Coturnix japonica: one gene and its partners. The protein of the gene in region 1 interacts with the protein of each later gene in a pairwise test. Links are inferred from orthologs where the notes say so. Each region holds a gene or a part of one and is shown in the gene's direction. Other genes may lie near its edges. The genes, in order: TRIM23, CARD9, CDR2 and GEM.

Region 1 (5,491 bases):
GCAGGGTTTGTTTTGTTTTGTTTTTTAATGTACATTAAGTATTGCTTTGTACAGGTTGATGAAGTTGGAGGAGAGAATTGCGTATACATGCTCCCATTTATAGCTACAGGAAAATAGTTTCCATCAATTTATCTGTATTGTGAATTTTACCTTTTGGTAACTCATATTTTGAGTTCAGCCACTTAGAATAATAGTAATGTCTGTGGGGAAGCGTACCTAGAAGATTAAGTTTTGAGTGTTGAAACTGTAAACAGTGCAAAGTCGTAAGAGCTGGAAAGTGGATATGTTGATTCCTTTTCATATCTTTCTTCAGTGATGCCACAGCATTGCTGCTCTTTGTATTAGAAAAATCATCTCAAGAAAGCTGGAGGTATTTGGTTGTCTGCGGACAATTCCAGGCAGCAGTACCTAACCAAGCAGTGCAGCTCTACTCTATGAAGCAGTACAAAAAGAAAAATATTGGCAGGTTGTAAAAGCACTTGTATGTATTCTAAACTGGTTTTGAGTTTTAAATCCAGTCTCGTTTCATAGCTGTGAAACAAATGTATTGCCATTATTCTCTTTTGTATTATTATGTATTTTCCTTCAAAAGCTTTGAAACAATACATTAATATTTGTGGTGTGTTTGACTATTCTCAGTATTGTGGGGGGAAAAAAAAGTCTAGGTTAGTTGAGGCGACATCTGAATTCCAGAAGGATGCAGAGGACATACAGCTACCAGGCTGCCACAGGGCGCTGTAATAGAGGATGCTTGAAACAACACTTGGGAGAATCAGATGGTTAAAGTAGCCTGGGCTTTCTCTTTGGGAAGATAACTGGGATGTAGGTTCTGTGAGGTTGTGTCAGAGGGACTCTCCTGTCAGACACAAAATATGTGGACTGAAAGTGTCAGGAGTTTCTGAAGGTTGTTTGGAGCCAACTGCTGTTCCAGTGGTCTTTGCACCTGAATTACAAGAGGAAGCCCAGATTTTTTTTCTGGATCTGGTGCTGTTTTCTAAAATTGTTTTCTATGTTCATGGTTAAAGCAACATTTATGTTGTTACTTGAATGAAATGACAAGCCATTTTATTTACTTTTTTACAATGCCTTAATGAGCAGAAGTGCACTGATAGATCTGTTTATATTCTTGCACTGGTATGTTTGCTTGGACTGTAAGTATTTGAAATATGAAAGTGTTATGTACATGCGGCTTTGTCTAGGAAATGCTACTGTCTTTTCTTGTGTCAGCAACCCTGTACAAAATTTTGATAGAGGAGATAGCTGGCATAGGTTTTCTGCTGTATATCTGTTAGTGCAGTAGAAATGTTAACTATACATAGTTAAGTAAATTGTATTAAATTTCATGATAATTATAGTTCTTATGGTCTTTTGTTGTTAGTTATCGCGGATTATTTTACAAGTGGCATTTCTTAAGTAGGGACAATCTGCATAAACAGTAAATAATTCCATGATGGAAAGAAGGAACAGGATGGAATGTTATTGTGAGCTGACATTGAGCAGCCATGGTACCTCACTGGAATTATATGTTCTTTTTAATGTTAGTTAAAATCTTCTCTGTGCTTTGTGAAATTCTCATTATGTTATTTGCTTAGGCGTTTTATTCCTATCCCCTCACTTTATTTAGTTGTTTCTCAAAAATAGGAGATTCTGGTGTCTGGGGACTGAAAAAGAATTTTGCTTTGTTGGAACTATTGGAACGGCTGCAGAATGGGCCTCCTGGACAGTGTGGGACAGCAGAAGAAGCCATTGGTCTATCTGGAGAGGTACAGATTTTGGAAAAAGAACTGTGTTACATTTGTGTAAAAATATTATTAGATAGAAGAAAATTTTCTTGGCAAGTGTGTTTGCATTAATAAAGTTGTTTTCTTTCTGTATCTAACATGAAGATTATCAGTAATTCATAATTTAATTCTAATGTGCACTTACTAAATCAGAGAAGTTATTACCAAGTCTTCCCCCCTTTTTTAGGCTTTAAAGACTTTTCCAGAGGGTTACTTGTTTGGATATTTTATTTGTAATAATTTTAGGAGAGTTTTCTGGAACTTCCTAGCATCTCTTTTTACAGACTTTGAAACAGCTCTTCTTTCTGGATAGTTACCTTTTATAGTCATTCAGTGTGACTGTGTTGTATAATAGCTTCTTTACCAGAAAGGACTGCTTTAAGCAGTCTGGTATTAACAGCTGTTATGCACAAAGCATGCAGTGCAATTTTAGGAGCAGATCACTGTTCTGAGCACATATTTTTCTATTGTTGTTTTGTCTCTAACTTTCTCATTCTTCTTTCCATAATGCTTATGTTGAAGAGCTGTCTGGAACCTGAATTACTTTAGCCTCAAAAGCTCTACTGCTTCTGCTGAAGTGTACATTTAGAAAGTCAATTAACCGCTCAATCAAAACCCTCTAGAGTAATATTGGAACTTACTGTTAGGGAAAGTGATTTTTTTATTATTGTTAAGTAACAAGAGGTCAGGTTTTCAAAGTAGTCCATATTGGTGTCGGGTCTTCTGACTTTTCCGCTGTTGCTGAAAATTATTTATAATTTATATTAATAATTACTTTTATTATTAATTAATAAATTATTAATAAATAATAAATACTTTAATATTTTATTAATAAATATTATTAATATATTAATAAATATTAATAAATACTAACAATTTTGGTTTATGTTGGTGTTATTTTTTTAGAGTATCATTCGCTGTGATGAAGATGAAGCCCATGTTGCATCTGTTTATTGCACTGTTTGTGCCACTCACCTGTGTGCAGACTGTTCTCAGCTTACTCATTCTACAAAGACACTAGCGAAACACAAACGTGTACCTCTTGCTGATAAACCTCATGAGAAGACCATGTGCTCCCAACACCAAGTGCATGCTATTGAGTTTGTTTGTTTAGAAGAGGATTGTCAAGCCAGTCCTCTCATGTGTTGTGTCTGCAAAGAGTATGGGAAGCATCAAGGTCATAAGGTACTGCTGAGAATCTGTTTCTGGTCATGCTATGGAATGACTTGCATATTATTTATCCAATTTAAGTAGAAAAAGTTATCAAGAGAGGAGAGCAGAATCTTGATGTGCTTTTATAGAAGTACTGTCATTATTTTCTTTCCTTTTTCATTAGGAGAACTGCCACAATAAAAGTTACAGGGAAAATAGTTACGATTAAGACTATATTACTTATAAGTAAATTATATAGTTAATTTGATGCTTTTCAGATCTTCTCATGGTATTTTATTGCCTGACCTGAAGGTTGTTATTCATCTTGTAGTTTGTTCACCCAATCAGTTGCATTCCAACCTCCCTTTTGTGTGTGCTTTAATAAGTAATTATAGTAAATAGGCAAATTTCTGTTTGTACTTATATAATTGCTAGATGCCTGTCTTAGTAGTAGAATAGTATTTAGATTCTAAATAATGCATTTATGTGATTTACTTAATTAATATATTTTTTATCTAGTACGACAGAAGTGATATTTAAAGAAAATATTTGATTGATCATTGATATGTTGCTTTTAATTAATAGCATTCTGTCTTGGAACCAGAAGCAAACCAGATTCGTGCATCCATTTTAGACATGGCCCACTGTATAAGAACTTTCACAGAAGAAATCTCAGATTATTCCAGAAAATTAGTTGGAATAGTTCAGCATATAGAAGGAGGAGAGCAAATTGTTGAAGATGGAGTTGGAATGGCCCACACAGAACATGTATGCTATCTTCTTTGTTGTTTTTTCTTTCTTGCATATACAGAATATTTACAGATTGTAATAACAAATGGGAGCTTGTAAGGTTGTTTTTAAGCTTTTAACAAATAAAGATCTTTTTGGGAGGTAGTTAATTATAACATACTTCATTACAATTACATTTCAAGGAAGTTCTTGGAAAACTATATGTAGGCTTTACAAGACAAAACTTTTAAGTTTTAATGTCTACTGAGAGATTAAGACTTCTGTCCCAATATTGTTATTGAGACAACAGTTAAAGGCAATCTTGTAGTACGTGTCAAGGTTTTTAGTCATCATGAATGTAGAGAGTCAGTAAGGAAAGAGGTGTAAAGGCTACTTGATTATTGAAATAATTTATCTGAAATCTTGACCTTAACAACGATGAGGCTGTCTATGTAAATGGGACTAGAACTGTAAGGTAACTAAACAGGCTTGAACAAAATTAAGAGATATGAATAAAATGACACATACACTTGTACAGTCTTGTGGTGTTTTTGATTCTCTTGACATTTTGATTGTGACACTGTAGGTACCTGGGACTGCAGAGAATGCTCGCTCATGTGTCCGAGCCTATTTTTCGGATCTTCATGAAACCCTCTGTCGACAGGAGGAAATGGCTCTTAGTGTTGTTGATGCTCATGTGAGAGAGAAATTGATTTGGCTTAGACAGCAACAAGAAGACATGACTATCCTATTGTCACAGGTTTCAACAGCTTGCCTTCATTGTGAAAAGACTTTACAACAGGTAGGTTGGCAAGTGAGCTGCAGCATCTGGCAAGAGAAAGATAATGCAGTGTAAGTTTAGGCTACAAACAAAAAAGTGTTCTGCATTTTATTTTATTTTATAATTTTAAAACTGTAATTATATTACATGAGATTGGCCAAGTCCTCCAGTTGCTGTAAATTCTATGGCATGACTCTAGAGTAACTTCTGGTTGAATACGGGAGAGGTTTTTGGAACAGAGGTGAAATGGAAGGAAGGAAGAAAACGCCTGTGGGATTTGTGGGAAGGATTTTATAGCTGCAGTTGCTAACAGTTTTTTGAAAATGGTTTTTTGAAAACAGTTTTATACTAAATGACTTGCTCTTGATCTTTGCACTTGCAGTATGGATAATTCAGTATCAGATTAAATGTGTGAAGGAAGTGAATGTGTAAGACTGTCTGATGCAATATTCTCTTAATGATAACAAACAGTAGATGGCATCTATAATGAACTGTGTGAGAAATTACTTCATTAGTGTGTTACTTGCACTTAAAAATTTTTATCTAGTGTCTGATTGCTGAGTCAAATGTACATTTAACTGCAAATCTTTGTCAGCAACGTCACAGTACTGATAATCTTTTTTATCAATTGTGTTACTATGTGATGTGAAGCTGCAACTGTATTTCAGCTGATGATGTTATGTGTGAATGATGTAAATATTCTAAATGTTTAGCTTTACTCTGTTTTATAATTTATATTCTTTTACATGAAGGACTAAGAGATCTAGGAATAACTTTTTTTAAAACACAGAACTGTTCAGTATCTACTGGTATTAGAGAAGAATGACAAGACCTAATTATCTAAGTACTTTTTTTTGGTTTTTAAAGTTTTTATGTAAATATTTCTTTACCTAAAGTATTTGTTTAAAATGAAAGTTTTAAGTTCTCTTTCCAACTGTTGTGTTTACGGTTGTTTCATTCTGCTAAGTAAATTACTAAGAAAGCGTTATGCTTTTGTGGTTTTTGTCTATTTAGGATGACTGCAGAGTAGTGTTGGCCAAGCAGGAAA
Region 2 (4,675 bases), on another chromosome or scaffold:
GCAGGTGGGTGAAGTGCAGCTTTGGCTCTTCTAACTCAAGCCCATTCTGTGATGGTGTATTGTTCTGCCTTCGGTATTTGGGAGCAGAGCCTCAGACTACAGAAGGAAAAATGGTGATGCTCCACTTAAGTTACATAAAATGCCCTTCTGAGATGAGGGTTTTGCACTTGCTGTAGTAGAAGCTAGTTTTAGTGTTAACTGTTCTTCCGCAGCTGAAATACTGCAGTATTATTGTCCAGCATTTGGTTTAGAATTGTGGGGAGATTGGAGCAATTCTTTGTTCTGTTAAAAATAGGTGAAGAGAGAAAGGAATTAATAGAACATTGCTGCTGTTCCAGGTGTTCTTCTGGACATTCTTCAGCGAACGGGGCACAAAGGATTTGAAGCATTCATGGAGAGTCTCGAGCTTTATTACCCACAACTGTATAAGAAAATAACTGGGAAGGAGCCGAGCAGAGTTTTCTCTCTGATTATAGGTAATGTTTGAGTTCTGGCATAAAACTTTTTAGTGATAAGTGAGTGAAATTCTGGAGCGCGCGCGTGTGTGTGTGTGTTGCAGACAGGACAGCAGTTAGTGATACTTGTCTACCTGACAGACACAGCTGGGGAGTCAGGCCTGAGCCAGCTCCTGATGAATGAAATTACAAAGCTGCAGAGAACAGTGCAGGAGGAGCGGCAGAAGGCCCAGGAGCTCACCGTGTGGCTGCACACCAAAGAGAACATGATCAGAGAGATGTGGGTGAGGGACAGCCTGCTCCGCAAGCACCAAGAGCGGGTGCAGAAGATGAAGGAGGAGAGGGACAGTCTAAGCAAGGAGCTGCGGAAGTGCAAGGATGAGAACTATAACCTGGCAATGAGCTATGCCAGACAGAGCGAGGAGAAGAGCAGTGCCCTCATGAAGAACAGGGACCTGCTCCTAGAGGTGAGTGACCCCCTTCTTAAGCATCCTCCTTCTTGCTTGATCCCTGAAGAGCTGTGCTGTACATCAGGTGTGTCTTTGCCTGGGATGGTGTGGCTTAGTCTTGATCCCTGAAGAGCTGTGCTGTACATCAGGTGTGTCTTTGCCTGGGATGGTGTGGCTTAGTCTTGATCCCTGAAGAGCTGTGCTGTACATCAGGTGTGTCTTTGCCTGGGATGGTGTGGCTTAGTCTGAGTTATTGTGTGTATTCCTTGCAGGTGGTATGTCTTAGTGGTCCCTGGCTCAGCCCTGTAGGCCCATGTGTTACAAGCTGTGCCATGAAGAATCGAGTCTTCCCCTTGTTTGAGGCTGGGCCTTCTCACAAGGGCAATGTAGAACCAGCCTGTTGTACCCATTTAGCACAAAGTCTCAGCTCCCCAGAACACCAGACTTCCTAAGGAACATAGAGCTGGGGAAAAGCTTGCACCATGCTTGCCTGATAAATGGGGAACTCTGCCACGAGAGCACTGCTTTTGCAACCAGGCTTTTGTGTCTGTTACTGATGAGCTCTGAACCTCCTTGTAGATTGACAGCTTGAAGCATAGCCTCATGAAGGCTGAGGATGACTGCAAACTAGAGCGTAAACACTCAATGAAACTGAAGCACGCCATAGAACAGCGTCCGAGCCATGAAGTGATGTGGGAGATCCAGCAGGAGAAGGAGTTGCTTTTGGCCAAGAATCAGGAGCTGGAGAACACTCTCCAGGTTGGTGGGGGGGTGACTGGGTGAGGAATCTAAAGAAATTATTCTTCTATGCAGCCAGCACAGCGATGGAGCTGTACTGAGTGTTTTGAGGGTCAGCTATGGCCTTGTTCTCCCAAGTTGTACAGAGAGCACGTTGGATTTCAGAGTTAGATGGTTGCTGTATCTTTTGTTCAGCAGGTTGCCAGAGAACAGAATTTGGAGAAGAATCTCTCCCGTGAGACTGTGCAGAATGACTGCAGCCAGATACTGGAGCGCAGGGACCTGCTGAACACCCTGTACCACCTCCGCAAGGAGCTGCGCCAAGCCGAGGTGCTCCGAGACAAAGTGTGTGGTGCAGTACAAATCCCTGCTGGGGCTCAGTGGGGTCAGATGGGCAGATTAAGCACATAAAGTGTCTTACCAGTGAAGCAGCAGAGCTGCGAGGCAGCATTCGCTGATGCTTCTATTCTAGGGTCTGTGTTGCAGTTTGAGGGAAAAGATGTGCTAATATTCTAGTGGTCTGAGTCTGTGACATTAACTGTGTTACCTGTTGATGCCTGTGCCTCAGCCTGCAGGGTGATGGGAGCTTATATCATGATTGACAGCTCAGGTACATGTAAAATCTGCCATGTTAGCAGGCTTTCTAGTCATACTGCCTGGTCTTCTGGTTGGCTTTGCTCCGGCAGGGCAGTCTGGCTTTGGTGTTGCAGGGAAGTCTGGCTATAGCAATCTGTGATATAGAGCAGAAGTGATGAGATTCTAGCTTGGGCTCACCCCACAAGCCATGTCTCAACAGTATGCAGAGGAAAAAGAGATACTTGAACTACAGTGCATGTCTCTGAGGAAGGACTCCCAGATGTATAGAAAACGGATGGATGCTGTCTTACAGCAGATGGAGGAAGTGGCTTCAGAAAGAGACCAGGTGATAAAACGTTCCTCCAGAAGCTGCTGCTAATCCCTGGCTTGCTGCTTGAAGCAGGCAGGTATTGTAACCCTGAATGTGGTGTCGTGCTACAACACGTTGCCTCTTACACCAGGCACTGCTGACCAGAGAACAGTTCTACATGCAGTACTCAAAGAACCTGATTGAGAGGGATGCTTATCGGAAGCAGATTCGGGAGCTGGGGGAGCGATGCGATGAGCTGCAGCTGCAACTCTTCCAAAAGGAGAGTCAGCTACTGGCTACTGAAACCAAGCTGAAAAGGCTGCAACTGGAGCTGCCTGCACTGGTATGTTTGTGGGGTTATTGTGTGTGATGAGTTGGAAAGTGTTGAGTCTAGGATCCAAATAAGACTGCTTTGAGACACTGAGACCTAACCAATCCGATTTCAGCAAGCAGTGGCCACCTGCTTGGGTAACCATTTATTTCTGTGAAGACGTGATGGTTCTTAGGAGCTCACCCTGGTCTGCTGAAGCCTTACACATTTGGAGTGCTTCCAGACACCATAAAGGCATTGTCACCCACTAAAGAGTGAACTCTGGAGTCTGTACAAGCCATTTGGGTGAAATAGGAGCAGGGTATGAGAGTTCATGGAATTAAATGAGACATCTGAAGACTTGTAATTATTGTGGCATCTTATGTGCTTTCTCCAAATGGTCAGATGAGTGTAGGAGGAAGTTAGTTCACATTTCTATCTTCTGGAGCTTTTGATGTCCTCTGTGTTCCATTGCAGCCATTTATTCACTCATGAGGAGTAACAAACTTACTGGTTTTATTTCAGACTTCTGACCTGGATGACACCTCCTCCAGAGATTCCCAGGATGTGAGTAGGGTGCCTTGTTTATGTTTCATTTTCTCCTGGGATGGTTTCAGCTTCCTCAGTTGCGCTAATTCCCAAAGAAGCAGCAGTCTGTGCTCCATGGGTCAGGCTCACAGCAGTGACATCAAGTCCTGAGGCAGCAAAGCAGGCTAACAGCTAAGGGTGGCTTCTCCTTATGTCCTGAGACTTCTGACCATGGGGATGCAGCTGTGATAAGATTTAAGTCCAAGCAGACCAGAAGATTCAAATTATTTTGCATTGCTTCTAATCTCTCTCTTATGAGAGAATGTGCAAAAATAAGTATTATCCTGAGAACATGCGTAGAAAAGAGGGTTTTGGTTTTTTCCAGCTTAGTTCATAACTGTGGTAGGGGTTGTCACATTGTCTGGAGACAAAATGAATGAGCCCATAGTCATGGAGGATAAGTCTGTGTGTAGATACACAGCTTCTAGTTCAGAATGTTTCCTGTTTTGCTTACAGCAAGATGCAGTGGGGGAAGGTCGGTTATATGCCTGTGTCCTGTGTTCCTGCATTTGTTCCTAGCTATTGTCTGAGAAAGAATATGGAGTACTTCTCATGATCTTAATTTGTTTGTGTCCCAATAGCTTACTCTTCATGCTCACCTAGATGAAGATACACACCTGACTGAAAGTAAGGTTTCTACTGGGGAAAACATACAGCATGGTTCTTGATGGGGTTTCCCAGTGTTCAGAGGGACAGGAACAGACACTTTTAGTGCAGAAGAGGAATCCACTGACTGAGGGTTTGGTCATTTGGGTGAAATAGGAGCAGGGTATGAGAGTTCGTGGAATTAAATGAGACATTTGAGCACTGCCTTCTGAATTGGGCCAGCCAAAATCACCTGGTACACAATGCCTTCAAAAAGCAGCTCCTGGATGCCTCTTCTTCACACAGTCCTCTCGTGTTTGTGGCTGAGCTGAGAATGGAACAAGCATCCTTCCACTCCAGCTCAACCACATGTCTTTCCCCAGAGACATTTCTTTCCTCTCTCTTATGTTGCAGGCTATTTTCACAAAAGCAGAACCATGTAATTAACACTGTCCCTGGTTCAGTTCTTGTGGCAGCCCCAGTGGAAATGATTCAGCAGCACAGAGAAGAGCAAACAGGGTCCTTTAAAGCTTGAGATTCTCCTTTGAAACATGTTCCAAAAGGAAGGAATCAAGCAGAGATCCTCACCTGAAAGAATTAAGCAATCATTCTCTGAGATGGGAGACTTTTCACAGCAGCTGCCACACTGAAACAAAGCCTTTTC
Region 3 (5,491 bases), on another chromosome or scaffold:
TTAATCACATGAAAACTGAGAATGTTTTCTTGTCTAACTAGAACAGCGGGTGATGCAGTATGTCTCATGTATTCATTTCAGGCATCTTAAAGAGAATCTGGGTTTTTCTTGAACCTCCTTCTGCTTCTTTCCCATTAGTGATGCTATCCCTACCCATATGAGAACTAACAAGGCTGCCTGCATGCAGGAGAAACCTGGTCAGACCCAGGTAATGGGAAGGAGGTGAAAAGTAACGTTAGAAATCTGTTGAATTTGGAACATGTAATACCTGCACAGTGTAGTTACTATTTTAGCAATAACACAGGATTGATTTCATCACGTTATGTTAGTTTTTAAATTGCATGCATCTTTAAACATAATAATATGAAACATCTAGCAATACTCATGCTGCTTCCCTTCAGAAAGGAGCTGGGTGTTCAGATGACTTATTTCTTAATATGAAACAACTACAGTCACTGTACCCTGGAGGTGATTGAAGTGAAATAGAGATTAAGTGCCTGCGAACAAATTCCACTTAAAATGGTGTTTTGGAGCACATAAAACAATTGCTGTCTCCCAGGTTTATGAGCCTGAAATGCAGAATAGCTGCATTTCTTTAAGTTTTGTGTCTTTGATTTTACTAGTTCACCATCAAGTGCCTCAAACTTTCATTTTGCTCTTGATCCTGCGCGACCCGAGCTCCTTGGCAAACAACACAGTAAATGAGGATGCAATCAGCTTTGGCCTCAGAATAACCTAATGAGCACTTATGGGGTGTTTTGTGCTTATTCTTCTGAAACGTGACTGTTGTAACCACAGTGAAATAGTTACAGTTAACAGATGCTGTGGTTAGAGGTGCGTGCAGTACAGGGCAGATGGAGGGGAGCAAAGAGAAGGTGTCTGCCTGTGTCTGCCCTAAGGCTGTGGTACCCAAGGAGGACCCCAGGAAGGTCCATGAAGAAGGAATACCTTCTAGGTTTCAGGACTTACTTAAGTCTTTGCCTTACAGACAGTATCTGAATGGCCAATGCATCTGTATGCAACTTCATCTTTGGGTACCGCAGTCATTTAAAAAAATAATAATTCTACTCAGTATTTTAACCAAATACTTGAAAAACAGATCATGCTTTCGGGTCCGTACCTTATGTGCATGTGACTTCTTTGTTTAGATCTTCACCTTGCTGCTGAGCTTGGGAAGACGCTACTGGACCGCAACACTGAACTAGAAGAATCTTTACAGCAAATGTATGCAACAAATCAAGAGCAACTGCAGGAGATAGAGGTAAATATTACAAGAATCCAGGTGTAAGCCATGTAGATGTGCAACAGAACAGCTCGTAAGCTGAGAACTGATTTCTTAACATCTGATTGTTCAGTGTTTCTCTTGAAAGCGTCAGCCTTTAACTGCTCCTGCTACCTCAAGAACTTTCACAGGCTTTGATCATTGTTAGACCCATTTGTCTCATTAATGGAGTCTTTGTGCCACAAAATTCCTGTTGGATTCAGCTTGAATAATGACACATAACTGATATTTTTTCTACAGACAAGCTATTTCAGGAATGTTATAGCTAAATTTTGCTGGTCTTGTCTGGTAGGAATGATATGAAATTATATGATGAATAAATTAACAACTTCATATTATTTTAATTATTAATGATTACTGCAGTGAAATTTAAATGCTTGACAAAAAAGCATGATAAAGATTTAAGGAAAGTTGAAGGATGTGTTCTTCTACTGGGGTAAAGGGAACTGCAGTTCAGTTAAAAACTAAAACCCAACAAGAACAAACACAGAACAATACCTAAATACAGGACGTGTGGTTCTTAGGTGTTTTCGGGAGGGAGAATCAGAGCTGCCCTTTTGGAAACACTCATCTTTGTTACTCCATGGAAGCCCCAGCCATTCTTGGCAGTTTCTCTAATGGTGCTTATATTCTTGCAGACCTAACATTTGCCAATATAATGATATTTTTTTTAAAGCTATTTGAGGGCAATGTGCGGCCTCTAATAATTAAATGTATTAAATATTCAGTACTTCTCCATTACTCTGGCAGTGTAATGGAAATGAAGTCCAGTGTTTCAATTTGGCTCTGGTATGAATCACAGGGAATAGGCTGTGACTGGTATATGCTAAATTCTTACAAAATCAGAATTCACTTGTGCAAGCTTTACTTACGTGGTTACAGTTGGAGTATTTTTGTACAGCGGCAGCTCAGGGCTTAAACCTTTTATCATTGTTGTAGCAATAGGTGACTTAAAAAGCCTAAACTTGAGCCTTAGAAGTATATAGGTGCCTTCTAAAATAGTCACGTTGATATAAATAAGCAGCTTTTCGTTTATTTTATAAAGCGCTTTTGTTTTATAACCTGATGTTTTCACTTAATAGTAGAAAGAACCAAACTATGTCTTTGTTATCACATCCATTCGGTGACACAATGGTTAGAATGGCCTGTATTGATTGCCAGTGCTATAGCTCTTTTTTTTCTTTTTGTTTTGTTAATATTCACTTATGCAGAGACTTGCCTCACTGAGATGAGGCTTTTACAGGGAAGGTTGATTCTTTAGATCTAGAGAGCACTTCAGGGTGTGTTGCATGGCACACTTCAAGGTGTGCTGTGCAAATACTGTTCTACTCCAGGTTCAACTCCTGTATGACAGCCATGTTTAAGAAAGTGTTTAACGCAGATACAGCAGATTTTGAAATAACACAGCCTAACTCTGCAGTGCACAACTAACCCGGCTCCTTGAGCAGAGCTTCTTAATCAGTGGCTGTATTATAATGCAGTCTTGAAACATGGAAAAAGACCCGATTGCTCAGTTGCATTTATTTACAGAAATATCCTTGTGCTATTAAGGATGTGGTATCTCGTTTGGTTTTAGCCAGCTTATTTGACTAAGATCTTCTTGTTTCATTTTGGTTTGTTGTTTTTAAGCTCTCTACATAGGAGAGCTTTAGCACAAGGAAGTGGTGAGAAGCATCCTTCTAGCAGTGATGTGTAGTTGGTGTATAGCAGGGTCATGTCCTTGTATGTTCAGACTGACTTATTTATTCTCTTAACTTGCTTGGTTTCGCCAATGGGAACCGGGAATTCCCTGCTGCACAGGATAAAATATTCAATGCTATTTCCAGGGTTTACACTTGATGTTCCTAATGTTAAAGTCTCTGCAATACAGTCATTCTTTCAATGCTTTTGGAGCTACTTTGCCAGACTTTAGACTACCCTTTTCTGTACAAAAAAGCAATGATTTTTTTTTCCCCTACTAATTCATATCTTACAGGAAGCAAACTCCCAAACATAGAATGATTAATAGAATGATATTTTGAAATACGGTACTATTTGTCTGCACTAAAAAAGGAAGGGTCAAAGGCTTTGGGATGCTTAAGATTACAGTTGATAAGTTAAAAGTTAACATATTAATTGTTTTACTGCCTTGGATCATTCTATCTGACCTCTGTGCTGACACGTGTTCCACAAACTAATTGCTGCAGGTGTAATAAGTGCTGGATTGAAAGGGCAGCTTTATCTCTGTCTGCATCGTAGTATTTCTCAAGTTGGTGTGCAGAGAACCAGAGCTCTCCTCTCATTGTGTGCAAGAGTGCCTGAAGTCTCAACTGCTGCTCCATTATATGTACTCAACTGTTGTGCAGTATGAACAAATGTCAATTCCTAAGGTGTTACCAGAGCCATACCTTGTTTTGATGTTCTGGTCACACCAGGCCAACTTGATACCAGCACTGAAGATGCTGAAGACTCAAGATGAAGGAAATAGCATTTCACATCTTCCATTCAGTTAAAACTTCCACAAAAGCCCATTAGGAGAAATGGCGACATCAAATTCTGCCACCAAAACCTTGGTTTCTGTGTTCAGCCACTCTTATATTGCTGGAGGAAATATGAAGATCTCTGTAGCTCTTTCTGAGAGTAACCAACAGGAAAAGTTAATCTGGAGAGGGTCACACTGAGATTCTGCAGCTAATCCATGTACTATTTTAGTGTAAATCCTGCCACGTGCACACAGGCTGCAGAAGGATCTGGCAACTGCTGTCATGCTGATCTTCAGGAAGTCTATGCAGCAGTTACTAGTCTCAGATTAACTTATAATCTGTTCTTAAATTGCCTAAAATATAAACACATCGATCTTTTAAGGAGGTAAAAGGTTAAGCAGAATGTTACAAGTTTTCAGCATGTAACTGTGTGTACGGAGATGTAGTTCTGCTCAGAAGTCCAACAGGTGCTCATATGTTTAGTATGTAGTAACACAGAATTTATTTTATGGCGTTAATTCTACGTAACAAATAAGTATTCAATAGTTTAGGGGTTGGGGGGTTTGTTATCAAGTCTGTTTATTATAAATTTTTGTTCTTTTTTTCTTTTTTTTGAAGCTGGCTCAGTGCTGCCCTAGCTGGGACGATATAAGGCACTTGTACTGAGAGTCTTAGGTGATGGTTAACTTTCTGAAATAATCCTAGACACTTAGCAGGTTATTTTGTTAACCATAAAAGTAAAGGGAATTAAAATGAGATCACTTTGTGTGGAGTTGTATTTAAAAAAACAAAACAAAGTGCAGGAGACTTTTTCAGCATTATAATGACTGAAATAGTTCCCTGTAGGTAATTAAAGACTGAATCCAATAGCTTGGTTCTACTTCCTGACACATAGGAGTCTGCAGAATCTCAGGTGTGACCACATCCTAAAATGTGTTTTGCTGAACCTAACGCTGATTCAAACATAGACAAGCAGAAAAACAATCAGGGTAGTGCTACCCAATACTTCAGTTTAAATGCTGAGAAAATTATTGGGTCAACATTATTACAAAATTTATGATGTAGTTCAGTGCAACTTTTAGAAGGACTCTGTGAAGAACTGTGTTGAAATCCAGGTTTGTGGCTGAGTTGGTGATGACTGCAGCACAGACAAACCCAATCCAGATGGGTTTGTGGTAGCACTGGCAATAGTTTAACTGCAGCAAGGATGGCTAAACAGATAAACACAGTTTGCACGAACCAACCCAACTCATGTGGGTAAAGGACTGGTTGATCAGCCTTTGCTGACCTCCATGACAAAGGCAAGAGAAGTAGCTAAGCTACTGATTGCACCTTTTCAACTGGGCAGTAACCAAAGCAACCACTGGAACCTGTACGTTTCTAAATCACAGCAATCATAGCAGGTATTTAATGTGAACAAAACTGCAGAATAGTAGCCCTATCCTGTGTTTCTAGTATAGACTTGTAACAGCAATGCTGTCTTGCAGTATCTCACAAAGCAAGTGGAGCTCTTGCGTCAAATGAATGATCAACATGCAAAAGTTTATGAACAGCTGGATGTGACAGCAAGAGAACTAGAAGACACTAATCAAAAACTAGTTGCAGAGAGCAGAGCGTCACAACAAAAGATACTAAGGTAACAAACCTAAGCTAGATCCTCTTTTCTCCCCTCTACTCAACTGATACATGCAGCTTTTTGGTGGCTGTTTGTCTAGCATTGTTCTACAACACTCTTAAACTGAAAGTT
Region 4 (6,253 bases), on another chromosome or scaffold:
GATGACAGTGAGGAGTTTACTTCATCCTGCAGAGAGCATTCCTTTAAGACATGATTATTGAAGCACAGAATGGATAGTATTCAAACATGAGATCACTCTAAGTTTAATATTGCACAAGCCAGCAGCATCCAAGCCCTCGTGCTTTTACGACAGCACCTGGCCTTATGGTTTTTCTCTTCTTGTGCTGTGTCTCTAGCAGTTTTTGCTGCAGATTTGTTGACAGGCAAAGAGTGTGAGAGGACAGGGCAGATCAGGATCGCAGAGCCCAGTATCAGTCTGTGGAGGTGTGTTTGGTAATGCAGGCCCATGGTCAGCCTTATTGAGTAGAGTTCCATCCACAATTCATTAATTAACCTGCTCTTATGCCTGGTAAGCAAATAGCAGGGCATGTATTGTGGGATCACTGGAGAGCTGTGTTTGCTTTACCTTGATTGCTATGAAGACGACACACAATGTCTGGCAATCGCTGATCTAACACGAGCCATAACTAAACGCAAAGCCTTTTCTGACTGTGATTCATTTCCGCTGTCTGTGCTTTCTGCTATCATACAAGTTAAACATTTGGGTGAGACGTTAGAGCCCACGGTTCTGCTGGCATCCATCTGGCCATAAAACTCTGCAGCCCTGTGATGGACAGGTTTTGCATTATTATAGGAGGTGACGAGTGACAGGCGACATAAAGAGAACTGAAATCCCTTGAGGGTGCAGCACGCAGCTCTGCAGCCATCCGCTCCCCCACTTCATTTACATTTTGCAAAAGGGAGGAGCAACTTCAGAACTCGGTGTGCTGACAGCAAAGTGCTCTGCTTTGAGACCCACTGGCCTTGCCATAAACATTCCCTGACAGGGGTTGTGCCGTGTTTTGCTGTGCTGTACAGTGAGCACAAACAGTTGTTGTGTGCATCCTACGCAGAGCTGCAGGGCTTGGAGCCAGGGCAGCCACTGCTGAACAGAGGTGATCCAACAGGATGGGCTCAGAAGATCCCTGAAAATCCTCATGAAAAATGCAGAAGTGCAACAAAGCTGAAGGGGAGAGAAATCAGGCATATCTCAGTGGAAGAGTTTCATAAAGGGCTGCATTATCAGAGGAAATGTTCTGTACAAGGCTTATGTGAGACACAAAAATGCAGAAGTCTGTGACATGAGTGCCAGGCAGTACCAAGGGAAGGGATGTTCCACCCTGCACAGCGCTGGTGCTAAAGCTCAGCTGCCAGGGGAAGGGCAGTCACAGGTTTGGAAAAAGAAGGAAAAATAGTGGGAGTTTGCTGTAGACTTCTGTATAACTGATGGTATCCCTACCAAGTATTTTGTGGAGGTTTATTTCTTTGCTCTGTTAATTGTGATTTCCACACAGGCTGTTAGAAATGGCACCATTTGAGGAGCAGGCACATGCTTTGTGGTGCATACACTGTATAGCCATCTCTCCTAATAAACTGCAGACAGAATCTGCACCGTGTCGCCCGGGCTCTGTGCTCTGTAATTCACATCCGTCTTTGCTGGCGTCCAGCTGGAGCAGCACTCAGTCTGTGGGCAGCCGTTCTGTTGAGCCCTTGCAGGAGGAGTGCTGCAGCAGGGGTGGGAGATGGCTGGTAGAGCCTTGGAAGGTGATGGAAAAAGTAGGATTGTATGTTTTGGATCTCTTTAAAAGACAAATAAACCAAACCAAAACAAAACAAAAAAAACAAAACAACAACAGAATAATATTCATGCTTGTGAGATAATTCTAAAATGATATTCAGATCTTTTATTCCACAAAAAAACATCTTGTCCAGTGGGGAGTTAACTGCATTTTGCAGACAGAGAACATCACACATTTACTGCATTATATTCATTAATGAAACACGTAGTTTTAAAAACACCATTAATCCTGCTGGCGTTTGAATGCAGAACTGAGCAAGATGGAAGGACATGTTTTTTTTTAATTTTTCCACTTGCCTGTTTTCCTCATGTCAGCCCCAAATGTGTTTGTTTTACTGGCAACACCAAGACAATCATATGATTTCAAGTAAGTCTTTTGAGGCTGTTTGTAAGTTTTTGCTTTTCTGCATGTCTGCTTCCTCCCAGTTGGGGGTTGGCTGTTGGATGGAAAGGCCAACCACGTCACGGAAAAGCCCTGTCTCCGATCAGATGGGCTTAATATAAACCAGGTTCGCTGAGAAGGAATTAAAGAGGCAGCCCGTAAGCGGGAGGGGATTTACTCTGGCAGAGCAGCTCAGTGTAACACAGCCCACGGAGCGGAAGGCAGCGCGAATCCGGAGCTGACAGCGTGGACGGTCACATACAAGTAAGGAATCTCTGGCCACTGTGCATTGGGTCCTGTGTCTGTGGGGTTTGTTGTGGCTTTGTAGACCCACACAGCTGAGTGCAGTGCATGCCATCAAACCTGGGCTTGGACTGCGACGTGATTGTTTATTGATGGTCATCATTTGTTTGGGCTCTGATATCTGACTGAATTGGAATTGCTTTTTCTCATCTGGTCTTTTCACTGGGGAAACTGAAAGAAAGTAATGCATGGTAAATCAAACTGCGGTTCCTATCTGACTTTGTGAAGCAGGCTTTGCTTGATGCCTAGTTTCTTGTCAGAATCTAGTTTTGCCACTAAGCACTGCGTGTCACAGAGTAAGTACTGTGAGTGCTGTAATAAGATCAGATAGAAAGTGGTTTTGGTCTGCTTATTCTCCAGCCTGATCTATGTTCATTCTAAGAAGTTTTCAGATAGCTTTGTGTGAAAAGGAGTAGTGATCCGAACATGTTGTTTTCATGTGTTGCTGTGCTTGTTTTCATTCACCGCTTGTTATTCAAGTTTGAAAGTTCATTTCATGGGCAGCTCTCCTGCCTACTGACATGGAGAACAGAGCTGATAAAATTCAGATATACTCCAAAAAGCAAAATGTCCAAATAGCCACAGAAGTAACATTCCTAAAAATGGTAGCTGGTGGCCCGTGAGAATGACATCACTGTGCTCTGCCGCCAACCCGCTCAAAACTGAGTTTGCTAATTTAAGTGTAATTAGGGGCCATGCTAAGGTTGGAAGAGCTAACCTATTAGCTAATTGTGAAACAGATGAAGTTTCTGATTTAGTATTTGTAAACTTATGATCTTTTTCTGCCAGTGCCACCTTCTGTAATGGCTTGAACATATACCTCCTCTGAAAAGTCATTGGACTTGGTTGTGTCCCTGCTAGCAGCCAGAAAGCCACTGTTTTAAGCTTATCCCGACATAGATGAGACCCAAAGACATGTGCTTGCTTGCATGGCTTTCCTCTCCTATGGGAGCTGTGTAAGATTGTGAGTTTGAGGTATGAGGGATGGGTCCCTCTGCTTGCCCCAGGAGGCAGGAGGGCAGGGAGCGTTGCCTGCAGGTGCTGCCCATCTCTTGATGGGGATGCAGCCATATGTGAGCTCTGCTGAGTGCTTCCCTGCCCATACACTTAGCACTACAGGAAACATGTACAGGCTAAAGACAGAGAGGATTAGTGTATGGGGGTGGCATCATCCCCAGGAAAAAGCCTCTGACTCACAAGCTAGAAATATTTCTTTGCATACTAGTACTAGCAACTGCAAAAGTGTGGAGTCTCCTTTTTTGTTGTTGTTGTTGCATACTGTATCCCCATAGAAGAGCAGGACCTGATGCCTTGAGATGGTGTGTTTGTAAGTATTTTGAGAATAAAGTGTATGGCTTCCACATTTCTCACCAGGGGTAAAAAAATGACCCTCAACAACGTTACCATGCGTCGCACCCACCACAGCAGCCTGCAGCAGCAGCAGCAGCGATGGAGCATTCCTGCTGATGGGAAGAACCTGTTGGTCCAGAAGGACTCCAATGAGTACAATGTGCAGAAGCGATACACCATCAGTCCTGATGAATACTACAGAAGGAGCTGGTCCTCGGAGTCATCTGACTCTGTCATCTCCTCTGAGTCCTGCAGCAACTGCTACAGAGTGGTGCTGATTGGGGAACAAGGTGTGGGCAAATCGTCGCTGGCCAACATCTTTGCAGGGGTACACGACAGCATTGACAGCGACTGCGAGGTGCTGGGAGGTAGGTCACCATGCTCTGGGGTCTGTGTTTGCTCACCACCAGCCATGGCAGCAGAAATTGACGTGGAAAATCAGAAAGGTCAATTAATGTAAAATTGACCTAGCAAACATCTGGATCTGATTGTCAAAAGCAATTCCAACACATGCATCTCTCTTAAGAAAACAAGAATAAGCAAAGTAAGCTACAACGAGGATGGTACTCTCTAATAACAACTCAAAGCATCTGAAAAGGAACAATACAGATTCTCATGCTTTTTTATTTCAAAGAATTTGTTGGAAGCTGCCATTCAGTATTCATTCTGGTCCTATTCTTGTGTCACCACAGGCTCCAAAGGGCTATTTCCAGCTTTCTATAGGGCAGAGGAAAACAAGGACCTTTCCTTGTGGTCCACAAGAATGTAATGCTCAGAAATAATATGCAATGAAAAATAAAAAGCCCTATCCAATTCTCCAAAACATTTGCCATTATATGTTATCTCAGCCTTACATATGAATATGTTGTGTCAGCATAGGCTGTAGGGAGTCTGAGCAAAATATATCTACCCCTCATTTCATGTTCCCGTGTTAGTGAGGATTTTGAAACCTTCCTTAGTCCCAAAGACTAGTCATTGCAGAAGGTGAGGCTGTGGCACCCAGCCATGAGGGTGTGAGCAAGGTGCTGTGGAAGAAGGGACATGCAGTGATAGAAGCCTGCTGTGGTCCTAAGGACACAGGTGCTGTCATCTTGGTAACACGTGCAAGTTGCTGGCTGGTTTTGCTATTCAACACACAGAGCATTTCTCTCCTCTATCTGTTCCGCTTGTGCTGATGCCCATGACAGCACGGAGAGTTTCTGAGCTTTTTTTTTCCAGCCTTTGGTGGAGCATAGGCAGGACAGGTTTTTTGGTTCTTAAGCCAGGATTTACTTTGCACATCCTTGTCAGATAGTTTCCTTCTTCATGAGAAGCAGTATGGATTCTTCATTCATTTGCACTCCCAGCACTACTGCTTGGAGGATGGCCATGACAAGTTTTCAAGGCCAGCTTTATGGAAGTATCAGGAAACCTGCTGTTGTATTTCCCCTTTTAAAATGTTGACTTCAAAGTAAGCTCACTGGATGGAGCTGTAACCAACCTGATCTAGCTGTAGGTGTCCCTGTTCATGGCAAGGGAGTTGAATTAGATGGCCCTTAAGGGTCCTTTCCAACTGAAAAGCTTCCATGATTCTATGATTCGGATCAGGGGCAGAACATCTTCAAGTAGTGTGGTTACGTACTTGTAGCCTCTCGCTGTGTCATGGAGAACAAAGAAGTAGTCCTCTAAATGTTGTCCTCTGGTGCAGATGGATCTTGTTCCCATGCCAATGCTGGATCAGTCAAAGAAACCATTATCCAAACTTGAGCTTACAAACTGGAAATATTATTGCAAGAGATGATGGTCTCAGGACAGCCAATTCACAGAGGGGAATACAGCTGCTCCAAGGGATTAGTTTTGCAACTAACTATAAGATTCATCTGACTCATGAACACAGATGCCCCTCTTGATTAGCTTTGTGCTTTGAATCCTTCAATTTTAAGCTGTGTCAAGCCTGTGCTCTTGTTTACAGTGTTTGATTTTATTTTAAATACAGAGTATTTTTGGCTGAGTCTTTTGCTTGGTTGTAGATTTCTGGCTTCGAGAAAAGCCTGTGATTACAATTTGGGGAAAAGTTCACTCCACTAATACCCAAAAGAAAGTGTATGAGGCAGGAGTTAAGGCATGGTCCTATCTACAAGCATAGCTGGAACAGACTCCTCACACAGTGCAGGGAAAGGTTCAGTATTCTGAGAAACCCTAAGCCCAACATCTTTCACTGGCCAGCAACACAAGTCTAGAGGGGGATTTGAGCCTCACACTACTCATCCAAATGTCCTTGGATCTGGGGGGAAGAAGAATTAGTATTTGAAGTGGAAACTAGACTGAGAATTTCACAGCAAGGATTGATTGTGATTGAGTGGGAACAGCCCCTCCAGATCTAGGCAGAACTTAGTCACGCAGCGCTTATAATCTAGATATGGGTCATTTTGGTTTCAGTACAAAATAAATAACTGCTGTGGTTTGTTGACTGCTTTGCTTTTTGACATCAAAGGTAATGTGGGAAACTGTGAAATGGGAAAGAAATGGGATGCAGCAATCATTTCAGTCTCAGCAGCTCCCGTCTCACAAAACCGTGCCCTCTTTGCTTGGTGGGCTGTT

The links.
Region 2: the proteins of TRIM23 (region 1) and CARD9 interact in binary tests that used the Homo sapiens proteins (3 or more experiments, as listed by UniProt). The two-hybrid records come from large-scale screens. The link is inferred for Coturnix japonica from reciprocal best matches to the Homo sapiens genes TRIM23 and CARD9.
Region 3: the proteins of TRIM23 (region 1) and CDR2 interact in binary tests that used the Homo sapiens proteins (3 or more experiments, as listed by UniProt). The two-hybrid records come from large-scale screens. The link is inferred for Coturnix japonica from reciprocal best matches to the Homo sapiens genes TRIM23 and CDR2.
Region 4: the proteins of TRIM23 (region 1) and GEM interact in binary tests that used the Homo sapiens proteins (3 or more experiments, as listed by UniProt). The two-hybrid records come from large-scale screens. The link is inferred for Coturnix japonica from reciprocal best matches to the Homo sapiens genes TRIM23 and GEM.

The regions. Positions count from the first base shown.
Region 1 is NC_029547.1:14,360,878-14,366,368, forward strand, and holds part of TRIM23 (E3 ubiquitin-protein ligase TRIM23), read left to right. Parts: intron 1-1,641; coding exon 1,642-1,763; intron 1,764-2,687; coding exon 2,688-2,966; intron 2,967-3,518; coding exon 3,519-3,701; intron 3,702-4,248; coding exon 4,249-4,464; intron 4,465-5,457; coding exon 5,458-5,491.
Region 2 is NC_029532.1:6,404,002-6,408,676, forward strand, and holds part of CARD9 (caspase recruitment domain-containing protein 9), read left to right. Parts: coding exon 1-4; intron 5-338; coding exon 339-476; intron 477-596; coding exon 597-922; intron 923-1,483; coding exon 1,484-1,663; intron 1,664-1,837; coding exon 1,838-1,987; intron 1,988-2,438; coding exon 2,439-2,564; intron 2,565-2,679; coding exon 2,680-2,871; intron 2,872-3,363; coding exon 3,364-3,405; intron 3,406-3,741; exon of another isoform or gene 3,742-4,007; coding exon 4,008-4,053; exon of another isoform or gene 4,054-4,675. UniProt on the Homo sapiens protein: Adapter protein that plays a key role in innate immune response against fungi by forming signaling complexes downstream of C-type lectin receptors.
Region 3 is NC_029529.1:8,358,000-8,363,490, reverse strand, and holds part of CDR2 (cerebellar degeneration-related protein 2), read left to right. Parts: intron 1-1,148; coding exon 1,149-1,261; intron 1,262-5,231; coding exon 5,232-5,380; intron 5,381-5,491.
Region 4 is NC_029517.1:114,172,931-114,179,183, reverse strand, and holds the start of GEM (GTP-binding protein GEM), read left to right. Parts: upstream 1-2,143; 5' UTR 2,144-2,284; intron 2,285-3,697; 5' UTR 3,698-3,707; coding exon 3,708-4,041; intron 4,042-6,253. UniProt on the Homo sapiens protein: Could be a regulatory protein, possibly participating in receptor-mediated signal transduction at the plasma membrane. Has guanine nucleotide-binding activity but undetectable intrinsic GTPase activity.